Caenorhabditis elegans: one gene and its partner. The protein of the gene in region 1 interacts with the protein of each later gene in a pairwise test. Each region holds a gene or a part of one and is shown in the gene's direction. Other genes may lie near its edges.

What was found.
Region 2: the proteins of eef-1A.1 (region 1) and rpt-4 interact in a two-hybrid assay, tested with the Caenorhabditis elegans proteins (2 studies listed by BioGRID).

What each region holds. Positions count from the first base shown.
Region 1 is NC_003281.10:6,969,291-6,973,760, reverse strand, and holds eef-1A.1 (Elongation factor 1-alpha), read left to right. Parts: upstream 1-2,048; 5' UTR 2,049-2,080; coding exon 2,081-2,224; intron 2,225-2,277; coding exon 2,278-2,446; intron 2,447-2,494; coding exon 2,495-3,315; intron 3,316-3,364; coding exon 3,365-3,622; 3' UTR 3,623-3,735; downstream 3,736-4,470. Other genes in the region: rfc-4 (Replication factor C subunit 4), read right to left, coding at 146-232, 280-510, 564-696, 744-1,000, 1,066-1,126, 1,175-1,269, 1,315-1,393, 1,440-1,501; F31E3.12 (uncharacterized protein), read right to left, coding at 3,742-3,871, 3,913-4,083, 4,133-4,218.
Region 2 is NC_003280.10:41,478-47,996, reverse strand, and holds rpt-4 (putative 26S proteasome regulatory subunit 10B), read left to right. Parts: upstream 1-1,864; coding exon 1,865-1,885; intron 1,886-2,618; coding exon of another isoform or gene 2,619-2,768; intron 2,769-2,817; coding exon of another isoform or gene 2,818-2,952; exon of another isoform or gene 2,953-2,957; intron 2,958-3,079; exon of another isoform or gene 3,080-3,147; coding exon of another isoform or gene 3,148-3,218; intron 3,219-3,272; coding exon of another isoform or gene 3,273-3,516; intron 3,517-3,561; coding exon of another isoform or gene 3,562-3,822; intron 3,823-3,873; coding exon of another isoform or gene 3,874-3,963; intron 3,964-4,019; coding exon of another isoform or gene 4,020-4,052; exon of another isoform or gene 4,053-4,090; intron 4,091-4,334; coding exon 4,335-4,687; intron 4,688-4,736; coding exon 4,737-5,464; intron 5,465-5,515; coding exon 5,516-5,634; 3' UTR 5,635-5,790; downstream 5,791-6,519. Other genes in the region: C23H3.5 (Nucleolus and neural progenitor protein-like N-terminal domain-containing protein), read right to left, coding at 1-10, 356-413; rpoa-49 (RNA polymerase I associated factor, A49-like protein), read right to left, coding at 626-763, 1,008-1,883, 2,619-2,768, 2,818-2,952; Nuclear transcription factor Y subunit nfyc-1, read right to left, coding at 3,148-3,218, 3,273-3,516, 3,562-3,822, 3,874-3,963, 4,020-4,052; F23F1.10 (Reverse transcriptase domain-containing protein), read left to right, coding at 6,019-6,153, 6,315-6,470. UniProt on the Caenorhabditis elegans protein: The 26S proteasome is involved in the ATP-dependent degradation of ubiquitinated proteins. The regulatory (or ATPase) complex confers ATP dependency and substrate specificity to the 26S complex.

The sequences.
Region 1 (4,470 bases):
TCAAAAAAATATAATAATCTCAATGTTTTGTCGAAATTTGAGCACAAAACTATTGTTTATAGAATGTTAAAATTTATATATAGTACACGTGAATTTTGAAGTTGAGAAATCAATGGGCAAATTGAAACCGTATTGTGTTAATTTATCATTGGATAGTTTCACGAAGAGTGAGCAGAAAGTCGAGGAGATTGTTTTCCAAATCACATCCATCCAAAATTCGCTTTTCGCAAGTCTGAAATTGAACTTTCATTTCTATTTATGTATTCATCTTCCACCAACCGCAACCAGTTTCCCCATTACTCCAATATTCTCGTCATTGATAACATCTTCATCCATCAACTGTTGGAAACAACGACGAATGAAAGCAACACCAGTGCACGATTTTGTGATATCCTTTGTCAATGCAATTATTTGGGGAACATCAGCAGTCAGGATTGATTTGCAAACGTTTGAAATGAGTAAACTGTCCGAAGAACCACGGAGATAGCAATTTCGAGCATTGTCATCGCCCTGGAAATATAAAGTACTATTTTTACACAATATTTATAGAAAAAACAACTAACACTTTTCAAAATTGGAGCCAATGACTGAAGTGTACATACAGCTCGTCTCAAATCACCTTCTGAATATTCCATAACTTGTTTCAGTTCATCATCACTCATGGGAGTTCCTTCTGCATCACAAATTGTTCTCAATCTAAAAACACCGAAAGTTATAAAAAACACTTAATTTTGAAATTTCACCTTTGAACTTGAATCTCGGCTGGAAGTGATTTGAATCGGAACTTGGCACAACGGCTCACAACTGGAGGAATCAATCGGGAAACATAGTTGCAGATGAGAATGAAGCGAGTAGTTTTGGAAAAATCTTCAATAACTCTGCGCATTGCTGCTTGTGCTTCTCGGGTCATCGCATCAACTTCATCAAGTATGATAATTTTCAATTTGAGAACATCTTCCCTATGGCTGTGGCCCAAAGATGACTTGGAGAAGGATTGAATCTAAACAGGAAACGTTTTTATAATTATGGAATTCTTAATTAATTAAAAATCAGTGGCAATCTTACTTTTTGACGAACAACTGCAATACCACGCTCGTCCGATGCATTCAAATCAAGAACCCTATCGCTGAAAATATAATTATTGGAAAAAATTATCACCCAGTATTTCACTTACTGGAAAATATTTTTTGGGAAGAGTTGGCGGCAAAATGCAAGAGCTGCTGACGTCTTACCAGTACCTGGTGGTCCATAGAACAAAAGATGTGGTAACTGAAAAATTAAAACGATTAGTTTGAATAATTTTTTAAGCAATACGTCTCTTCCTTGAAGCGCTCCTTTCAGCATTGTGACGACTTCATCCTGGTATGCAATATCGTCTAGCGTTTTTGGACGACTGAAAATTTGAATTTACTTTGCAAATCGAAAAACAAAAAACTAACTATTTTTCTGTCCAGGTGAGCACCTTTGGTCTTTTATTGTCAACTTCCATTGGTTCTTCCATTGTTTCTGTTAAATTAATGAATTTTTCATAAAATAAAGACATTATACAATATAAAAATGAAGAATTTATTGAAAATAAACTGCCAGAGAGAAAAAGTATGCAACACTCCCGCCGAGAGTGTTTGAAATGGTGTACGGTACATTTTCGTGCTAGGAGTTAGATGTGCAGGCAGCAACGAGAGGGGGAGAGATTTTTTTGGGCCTTGTGAAATTAACGTGAGTTTTCTGGTCATCTGACTAATCATGTTGGTTTTTTGTTGGTTTATTTTGTTTTTATCTTTGTTTTTATCCAGATTAGGAAATTTAAATTTTATGAATTTATAATGAGGTCAAACATTCAGTCCCAGCGTTTTTCCTGTTCTCACTGTTTAGTCGAATTTTTATTTTAGGCTTTCAACAAATGTTCTAACTGTCTTATTTGTGACCTCACTTTTTATATTTTTTTAATTTTTAAAAATATTAGAAGTTTCTAGGATAATTTTTTCGACTTTTATTCTCTCTACCGTCCGCACTCTTCTTACTTTTAAATTAAATTGTTTTTTTTTCAGTTGGGAAACACTTTGCTCACTCCGTAGCAGCCATGGGAAAAGAAAAGGTTCATATCAACATCGTCGTCATCGGACACGTCGACTCCGGAAAGTCCACCACAACTGGACACTTGATCTACAAGTGCGGAGGAATTGACAAGAGAACCATCGAGAAGTTCGAGAAGGAGGCTCAGGAGGTAAATAGTACAAACAACTAGTTTGAAAGATTTTCTCACCCGATTTTTTTCAGATGGGTAAGGGATCTTTCAAGTACGCTTGGGTCCTCGACAAGCTGAAGGCCGAGCGTGAACGTGGTATCACCATCGATATCGCTCTCTGGAAGTTCGAGACTGCCAAGTACTACATCACCATCATCGATGCCCCAGGACATCGTGATTTCATCAAGAACATGATCACTGGTACGACTTTGTTAAATTTTTAGCTCGTTTATAAAACTTTAATTGCAGGAACATCCCAGGCCGATTGCGCCGTCTTGGTCGTCGCTTGCGGAACTGGAGAATTCGAGGCCGGAATCTCCAAGAACGGACAAACTCGCGAGCACGCTCTTCTTGCCCAGACCCTTGGAGTCAAGCAACTCATCGTTGCCTGCAACAAGATGGACTCCACCGAGCCACCATTCTCTGAGGCCCGTTTCACCGAGATCACCAACGAGGTTTCTGGATTCATCAAGAAGATCGGATACAATCCAAAGGCTGTTCCATTCGTCCCAATCTCTGGATTCAACGGAGACAACATGCTTGAGGTCTCCTCCAACATGCCATGGTTCAAGGGATGGGCCGTTGAGCGCAAGGAAGGAAACGCTTCCGGAAAGACCCTCCTCGAGGCTCTCGACTCCATCATTCCACCACAACGCCCAACTGACCGACCACTCCGTCTCCCACTCCAGGATGTGTACAAGATCGGAGGAATCGGAACTGTTCCAGTCGGACGTGTTGAGACCGGAATCATCAAGCCAGGAATGGTCGTTACCTTCGCTCCACAAAACGTCACCACTGAAGTCAAGTCCGTTGAGATGCATCACGAATCTCTTCCAGAGGCCGTCCCAGGAGACAACGTTGGATTCAACGTCAAGAACGTCTCCGTCAAGGATATTCGTCGTGGATCCGTCTGCTCCGACTCCAAGCAAGACCCAGCCAAGGAGGCTCGCACCTTCCACGCCCAGGTCATCATCATGAACCATCCAGGACAGATCTCCAACGGATACACTCCAGTTCTCGATTGCCACACCGCTCACATCGCCTGCAAGTTCAACGAGCTTAAGGAGAAGGTAACTTATTTGTCTTATTGTTTCGTTTATGTACCAATTTGTTTTTCAGGTTGACCGTCGTACCGGTAAGAAGGTTGAGGACTTCCCAAAGTTCCTCAAGTCTGGAGATGCTGGAATCGTCGAGCTCATCCCAACCAAGCCACTTTGTGTTGAATCCTTCACCGACTACGCTCCACTCGGACGTTTCGCCGTTCGTGACATGAGACAAACCGTCGCTGTCGGAGTTATCAAGTCCGTTGAGAAGTCTGATGGATCCTCTGGAAAGGTCACCAAGTCCGCCCAAAAGGCTGCACCAAAGAAGAAGTAAATCTTCATTGTTGAGTTTATCTTGTTGATTTTTGAATAAATTATCAACTCTTTACTTTTTAATGGGTTATGAAATAAATAAACATTGAAAACTGATAAACAACGTTCATCTCTGTTAACTCAACTCCAGAAAATCAGCATTAACATTAATAAAGTGATAGATATAATGAGGCAAATAATCAAGACTTTGGCTATTGTGTCCTCGTTGTTCTTCAGCTTCGTGGTCCATTTGCAGTGTTGCTTCTCAGATCTGGAAGTAATATTTGGTATTCGATTGAGCTTGCTCCTCACCTTCGATCTAAAATTTCGATAGCATCTGGAGATTCATTGTTTCTTTCGTTGATATCAATTTCTTCTCGGGTGAACTGGTCCACATTTATAGTATGTCTTCTATCATCAAACAGCTTTTCCTTTTCAACTTCCATATTAACTTCGCTTAAGGCACGAGTTATCTCCGCCAGCCTGATTAGATCAATTTAGTACATTGATTTACAAAATTGGGAAAACGAACCGGAACATAGCAGGATTCAATATATTCTTCGGTGTATAGTAACCAGTGTCATCCTTCTCTTCATTTTCTGATAGTTTCTGCGTCATCTTAAGTTAAAAAGTAGTTGTAGAAATGATAAATGGATAGTATAGAATATAGTGAAACGACCGAGGAAAGGTGAAGTGAGTGCAGAATTAGGAGAAGCTTATTTGCATAATAATATAAATGAATGAACGACGAGGCGGAGGAAACAAAGAGCACCCACCCGAACGATCGGAGAGATGAGCACTTCTTTTGTATCCGTTCAGTGACTGGGTATTGACAAGTTCATAAATTACAAAGCACAGGAAATAAAGTTT
Region 2 (6,519 bases), on another chromosome or scaffold:
TCCAGCATTTCTGAAATCAAGATGTTTGAAATATCCTGGTAATTAGAGGAAATTACGGTTAAAGGTCGAAAATTAAATACCTAATTGAAAATATAGTTTTTTTTTAAATTTGATATTCTCTCTTGAAAAACACCGAGAAAAAACGAAAAAATAGGCAAAATCAAATAATTTTTAATTTTTCTTCGGAACCCGTGCCAAACAATAAGACTTTCTTGTGATTTTTTAAAATTTCGAAATTCGATTTTTATTTGTTTAATTCAATATTTTTCTCAAAAAAGTAAAAATCTTGATTCTAGAAATTATATTTTAGATCTACATTTAGAAATTTCAATTATTTTTATTAAACTATGCATACCAATGAATACATCATCATTTTCTGCTCCTTCCTGTCCTGGGTCTTCGTTAGAAAACATATGCCTGTAACAAAGGTAATCAAATTAAATTTGAAATACAAATTATTAGAAATCTGATTGGTGTTTGAATCCGAATCCCTCCAAAAATCAAGATAGAAAAAAATAAAGATTATAACGGAAATTCATAACAAAACAAGTTTAACGATTTTAGAAAACAAAACAAAACAAATTTGAGGAAAACGAAAAGATTTAAGAAAAAATAAGTAAAATATTTATCGCCGAATGATCTTTCTGGGCCCTTTCTGTTCCAGACTCGGAGGTTTCAAGAGAATCGCGGCACGGAGGGAACGAAGAGTTTGAGCAGACGCCACATCGAGACGAATCAGGTCTGCACCTAGTGCTTGGAACATCTGAAAATGGGGCATTTTGGTGAATAAAACTCTTGTTGGAGTTCTTTGAAAATGTGCTTAATTTTAGAGAATGTTTAGAGAAAAAAATAAAATAAATAATTTCAAAATTATGCGTACGCGAATCTTGTAAAAGTAAAAGTACGCGAATCTTTCTATCACGTTTCATGCACAAAATTGGGTTCATTTTTTCTGGATTTTAGACTATTTTAAACAATTCAAAGCAAAATTTTCAAGTGGGATTTACCTTCTCAAGTTTACTAGGCTGATAACTAAGAGCTTGTTGAAATGGAGTAATCGGTACTTTGTGCTCGGGTGCCAATGTCAATGCCAATGCAAGTGTGTGCGCGATAAAACGATCATAGTCGGTAACATTGAGACGGATTCGTTCGGCTCCACGTCCAGTGTACCCCTTCTCATTAGTACTATCATTGAAAAACTGGGCCTGAACTTTCTGTCGGAGAATATCGGGCATCTTTAGCTCACTCAAATCTTTTCTCAGCAACTGTCTTTGCTTTCCCATTTTTGTGAGGATCTCGATCATGGTGGAGAGTAAAAGATAGGCGGCTGCACGTTGTTTGGTCTTTTCATTGTACATAATAAGAGTAACACACTCTGGAATTCCAGCTTCAAGTTTCTCTTTTTTCTTCTTTTCCATCAGTTCAGTGGCGATCGATTCAATTGCGTCAATCTCAATGTCTTCAAGGAACAAGGAAATTGGATAGATATCTCGTGAAAGTTCCGTTTGAACAGCAGGTGGAAGAATTGATGATTCGGCTTTATTCATCATTGTGATATTCTCCAACTTCACGTCAGCAGCACCATCCTCAGTTTTAACGTTCGAATTCGAAGCGAACGCGGTCTTTCTCATTTCGTCCAATGTTTCTTGATTAATAGTTCTTCGTTGAGCTGCTTCATCCATTTTAATTTTCTTCGAAGAACCAAAATTCGATGTCAATTGACGACGTTTCTCAGCCCATTTCTCTGCTCCAATTGAAAAATCGTTTTTGTATTCTTCAGACGACGATTCCTTCTTGTCACTGAAAATCTTCTCAATGTCTTCTGAGAACTTGCTTTCGAATGAATAGAATCGTGCAGGACGATATGTTGCTTCTCCAGTTCTCTGTAAGTTTTTTTAAAAAATATTCTTATTCAAATACATAATTCGATATTCCTTCAAGAGTACACAAAGGTGGAGTACAGAAATCTGAGAAATATTATTAAATGACTCCAAATTTTACCTTGAACCCGAAAATCTGTGTGAAAAAAATTCAAAGATTTTCTATATTCTATATTTTTTATATAAGCTTGAAATGGCGAATTTCATTTGTGCACCACCCATGAATAACTTTTTTCGCCTCAGAGACGCCATGTGTCGATTTACGAAATTTTTAATCTATATCGGATGCTGATTTCCGTTTTTCATTGATTAAAAAAAAATTTTTGGAGCGTTTGAAAAATCTCAAGGGTTCACAAATGAAATTCGGGGATTTCAAGCTGAAATCCAAAGTCAGTGAAATTTTTTTTTGATAGATTTTCGGAATCAGGGGAAAATTTGGAGTCATTAAAAAATATTGGTACTAGTCCTAAATCACCCCGCCACTTTTTTTATTTGTGTATTATTTCCCCTCATTTTAATATTATTCATTTTAATAAAACGTGATGTCCATTTTCCATCTTTAGGCTTAGAAATGGCTATTTCCTAAGCCTAAAAATACAAAAACTCCACACGTTTTTATTTGAAAAAAAAGAAAAAAAGTGGCGGGGTGATTTAGAACTAGTACCAAAATATTTTTCAGGTTTCGGTACTCAGCCTTTGAAAGAGTGAATTTGTTAGCTAAAATACACTCAAAATTACCTTATCAACCAAAGCAACAGCAAAATCGAATCCCTCATCAAGACAATTAACATCTGCCCCAACTTCTACAACATGCTCGCTAATATCTCCTTTTACGCTGAATATTGGCGCTTTTTTACGTCCTCCTTTTCCGTGTCTTTCGAATGTCAGCTAAAATGGATTTTTATTTTCATTTGAAAGAAGGTGCTTTAGAACAAACGTTTTTCAAATCTTTTGGCCGATTGTGCACGAATGAGGCAACGATATCAGAATCTGCAAATTCTTTGTTGGATTCCACATTTCTCACGTGGCAAGCCGTCTTCTTCGCACTCAGCTCCTCACTTGACAACCACATTTCGCCTCAAATTTAAAGATTTCAAAGTAAAAGCCTGTAAAATGAAAAACAAAGAAATAAGAAAATATATGAATGTGCATATGAAACACAGTATTTTTAGACAAAAAAGGTATAAATTCAAGCTTTTAAAGGGCGCCAGGCGCCACGAACTTAATTTTAATACATAATATAAGCAAGAAAATATTATTATAAAGATCAATTGTGGTGAGATCGGTTGACTGAAGAATTTGAAGTTCTCTGGTGAAAGTCGGAATGCATGTTGGGATCTATAAAAGGTTAAAAATTGCACAAAAATCATATTTAGGAAAAAAACCGAAAACCTTGGAAACTGTCTTCACTCATATGGCCTGGGCCGTTTGTGGAAGTTGTTGGCACCGTTTTCGGAGGTAGAAAGTCGATGAGAAAATCGAACTGATCACTTTTTTGCACTGCGCTTGCTATGTCGGCTTTTTGAAGAATTCGTCGCCTTGCTTCTGACACGTATTGCCAGCCCATTGCGGTCATTTCTTCAATGAAAAACTCGGCTGCTTGAGCCATAAATATCGGAGCATCAGACGCGATCATCTGTAAAAAGTGTATGAAGATCGGCTGGAAAATGACACTACTCACAAAGTTGCGAACATCGTCGTCTATTCGCATAATCTTTTTCACTCTAGCCATGGGAACGCTCATGTTTTTCGACTTGTTCAGCATATCCTCTTCAGAAATCTCAGTCATTTTCTGTTTTTTTTCACGCCAGAAATCTTCTGTCATTTGTCTCATCGAGGCGTACTTTGCCGGTGGTATCGCATCATTGTGATGGATTAAATTATTATAAGGATGAACCGCACCTTCTACAATAGAAGGCATATTTATTGGATGCATGTTCGGCTAAAATGAAATAAAATAAATAAGTTTTTAAAACGAGTTGATTTTATTCACCGTGTAGGGATGTTCCATGAACACTTCTGATTGATTTGTCCCATCATTTTGTATGTATTCGGCAGTTTCGTTGTTTTCGGCGTGTAAAAGCTGAAATAAATGAAACATTTGCTGGGAAGTCGAAAATTTTAAATTGTATTACTTACATTATTGTCTAAAACTTCTGGGAATTGCGACATCACGGCAGATGCAAGAAAAATTAACTTTAAACTAATTAGAAAAAAATAAATTAAAACAACACTATTCTTCTGTCGTGAAATATTGTGCATTGTGTGCACGTACACCGAGGCGGAAGATTGCGGACTCGATCAACTGCGCTCTGTTGGACACGATGACAATTTCAATTCTGATTTTCATTTCTGACGTTCTTTCCTCATGAGAACCTCGTTTTTTCAGATTTTTACATCTTATACAGATTAAAAAATGTTTTCATTCAAAACTAGATATTTTCTGAATTCCAGAACATGGTTGAACCAACTGGTCCCGCCATCGTAGAGGATGAACGCACTAAGGCGCTCAACAGCTATAGAAGAAAATTGGCAGAGTGCCGTGACATTGAACAGAAGTTGAAGGACTTGCGAAAAAAAGAAAGCGAGATGACCAAACAATTTGACAAATCCGAGAACGATATCAAGTCGTTGCAATCTGTTGGACAAATTGTAGGAGAAGTGCTCAAGCAGCTCAGTGAAGAGAAATTCATCGTCAAGGCAACCAATGGTCCTCGTTATGTTGTCGGATGCCGTCGCAGTATTAACAAGGAAGAGTTGAAGCAAGGGACAAGAGTTTCGTTGGATATGACAACTCTTACTATCATGTAAGCTTTTAGTTTTTTAAACAAAAAGTCTTAAACCGAAATGTTTCAGGCGTCAGCTGCCACGTGAAGTTGATCCGCTAGTCTACAAAATGTCTCACGAAGATCCTGGTAACATTAGCTATTCAGATGTCGGAGGACTCGCTGAGCAGATTCGCGAGCTTCGTGAAGTTGTGGAGCTCCCACTCATCAATCCCGAACTCTTTAAACGTGTTGGTATCACTCCCCCGAAAGGATGTCTGCTTTTTGGTCCACCGGGAACAGGAAAAACTCTCCTTGCTCGTGCTGTAGCATCGCAACTGGATTGCAATTTCCTGAAAGTTGTCTCGTCTGCTATTGTTGATAAATATATCGGAGAGTCTGCAAGAATGATTCGAGAAATGTTCAATTATGCTCGTGACCATCAGCCATGCATTGTCTTCATGGATGAAATTGATGCGATCGGTGGAAGACGTTTCTCAGAAGGAACATCAGCAGATCGTGAAATTCAGAGAACTCTTATGGAACTTCTCAATCAGCTCGATGGATTCGATTCGCTTGGAAAAGTCAAGGTTATTATGGCCACGAATCGTCCTGATACATTGGATCCTGCTCTTCTTCGTCCTGGAAGACTTGATAGAAAGATTGAAATCGGACTGCCAAACGAACAATCTCGCTTGGAAATTCTCAAGATTCACTCGAACAAGATCACCAAACACGGCGAAATAGATTTTGAAGCTGTTGTCAAGTTGTCCGACGGATTCTCGGCTGCTGATTTAAGAAATGTGTGCACAGAAGCTGGTGAGGAGTTGAATCATAAAAATTGCATTCAAATTATCATTTTTGTTTCAGGAATGTTTGCCATCCGTGCTGAGCGTGAATTCGTTATCGACGAGGACTTTATGAAAGCTGTTCGCAAGGTTGGAGACGCGAAGAGACTTGAGACGAAGCTCGACTATAAACCTGTCTAATTGATTTTTTCGTATTTATTGGACCTTTCCCGTTTGCATCTTTTAACCATTATCCCGTTTTCAATGTTTCCGTGTAAAAAAAGAAGATCCGAATCATAAATTATTTTTGGCTGGTTCTTGACATGGAGTAGATTTCTCGATAAATAATATTTGTAGACCCAAATAATGACGAGCCTCGTAAAAAAAATCGCGAAATATTATAGTAATTTTTCGATTCTCCAGACTTTCAAAAAAAAAATTCAATTTTATTTGGCACAAAGGCACTTTTCGTGTAAAGATTCTCAATTTATCCTGAATAAAACCCACAAAAGGTCGAAAATTGTTCGATTTTTTTCAAAGAAAATAGAAAATGAAGCTTTTCAATTAAATTTTCGTTTCAGAGCAATGGCGAGCACCAGTATAAAATCTGCAATCGCTCGTATCGGATCCATCAAGTATACAGAACTGGAGGACCTGAAATCAGTGAGCATATCCCAGGAGGAACAAGAAGCAGTTAGAGTTGAGCTGGAAAAAGAAAAGGTTTGAGCTGATATATTCTGGAATGAGATTTATACTCGGAAATGCCACTACCCCATTCAAACACAAAATGTCTGGCTCGTTAATAATATAATTAGATCGGCTATTTGCGTCATTCGAGAGTTTCAATTCACACAAAAACATTCCAGAAAATCTTTTTTTAGGATAATTGGCGCCCGGAGGAGCTACCGAAAGATTTCGAATCTCGTCTGGAACTGTTTGAAATCTCTTCTCCAATAAAATGCGTTAGAATTCCAAAACGGGAGCAGCGACACACTCAAATCATCATTGATGAGTTTAAGAAAAAGAAGAAGAATTAAATATGTCTATTTCACTTCCTTTGATCTCGAATTAATAATAAATCGATGC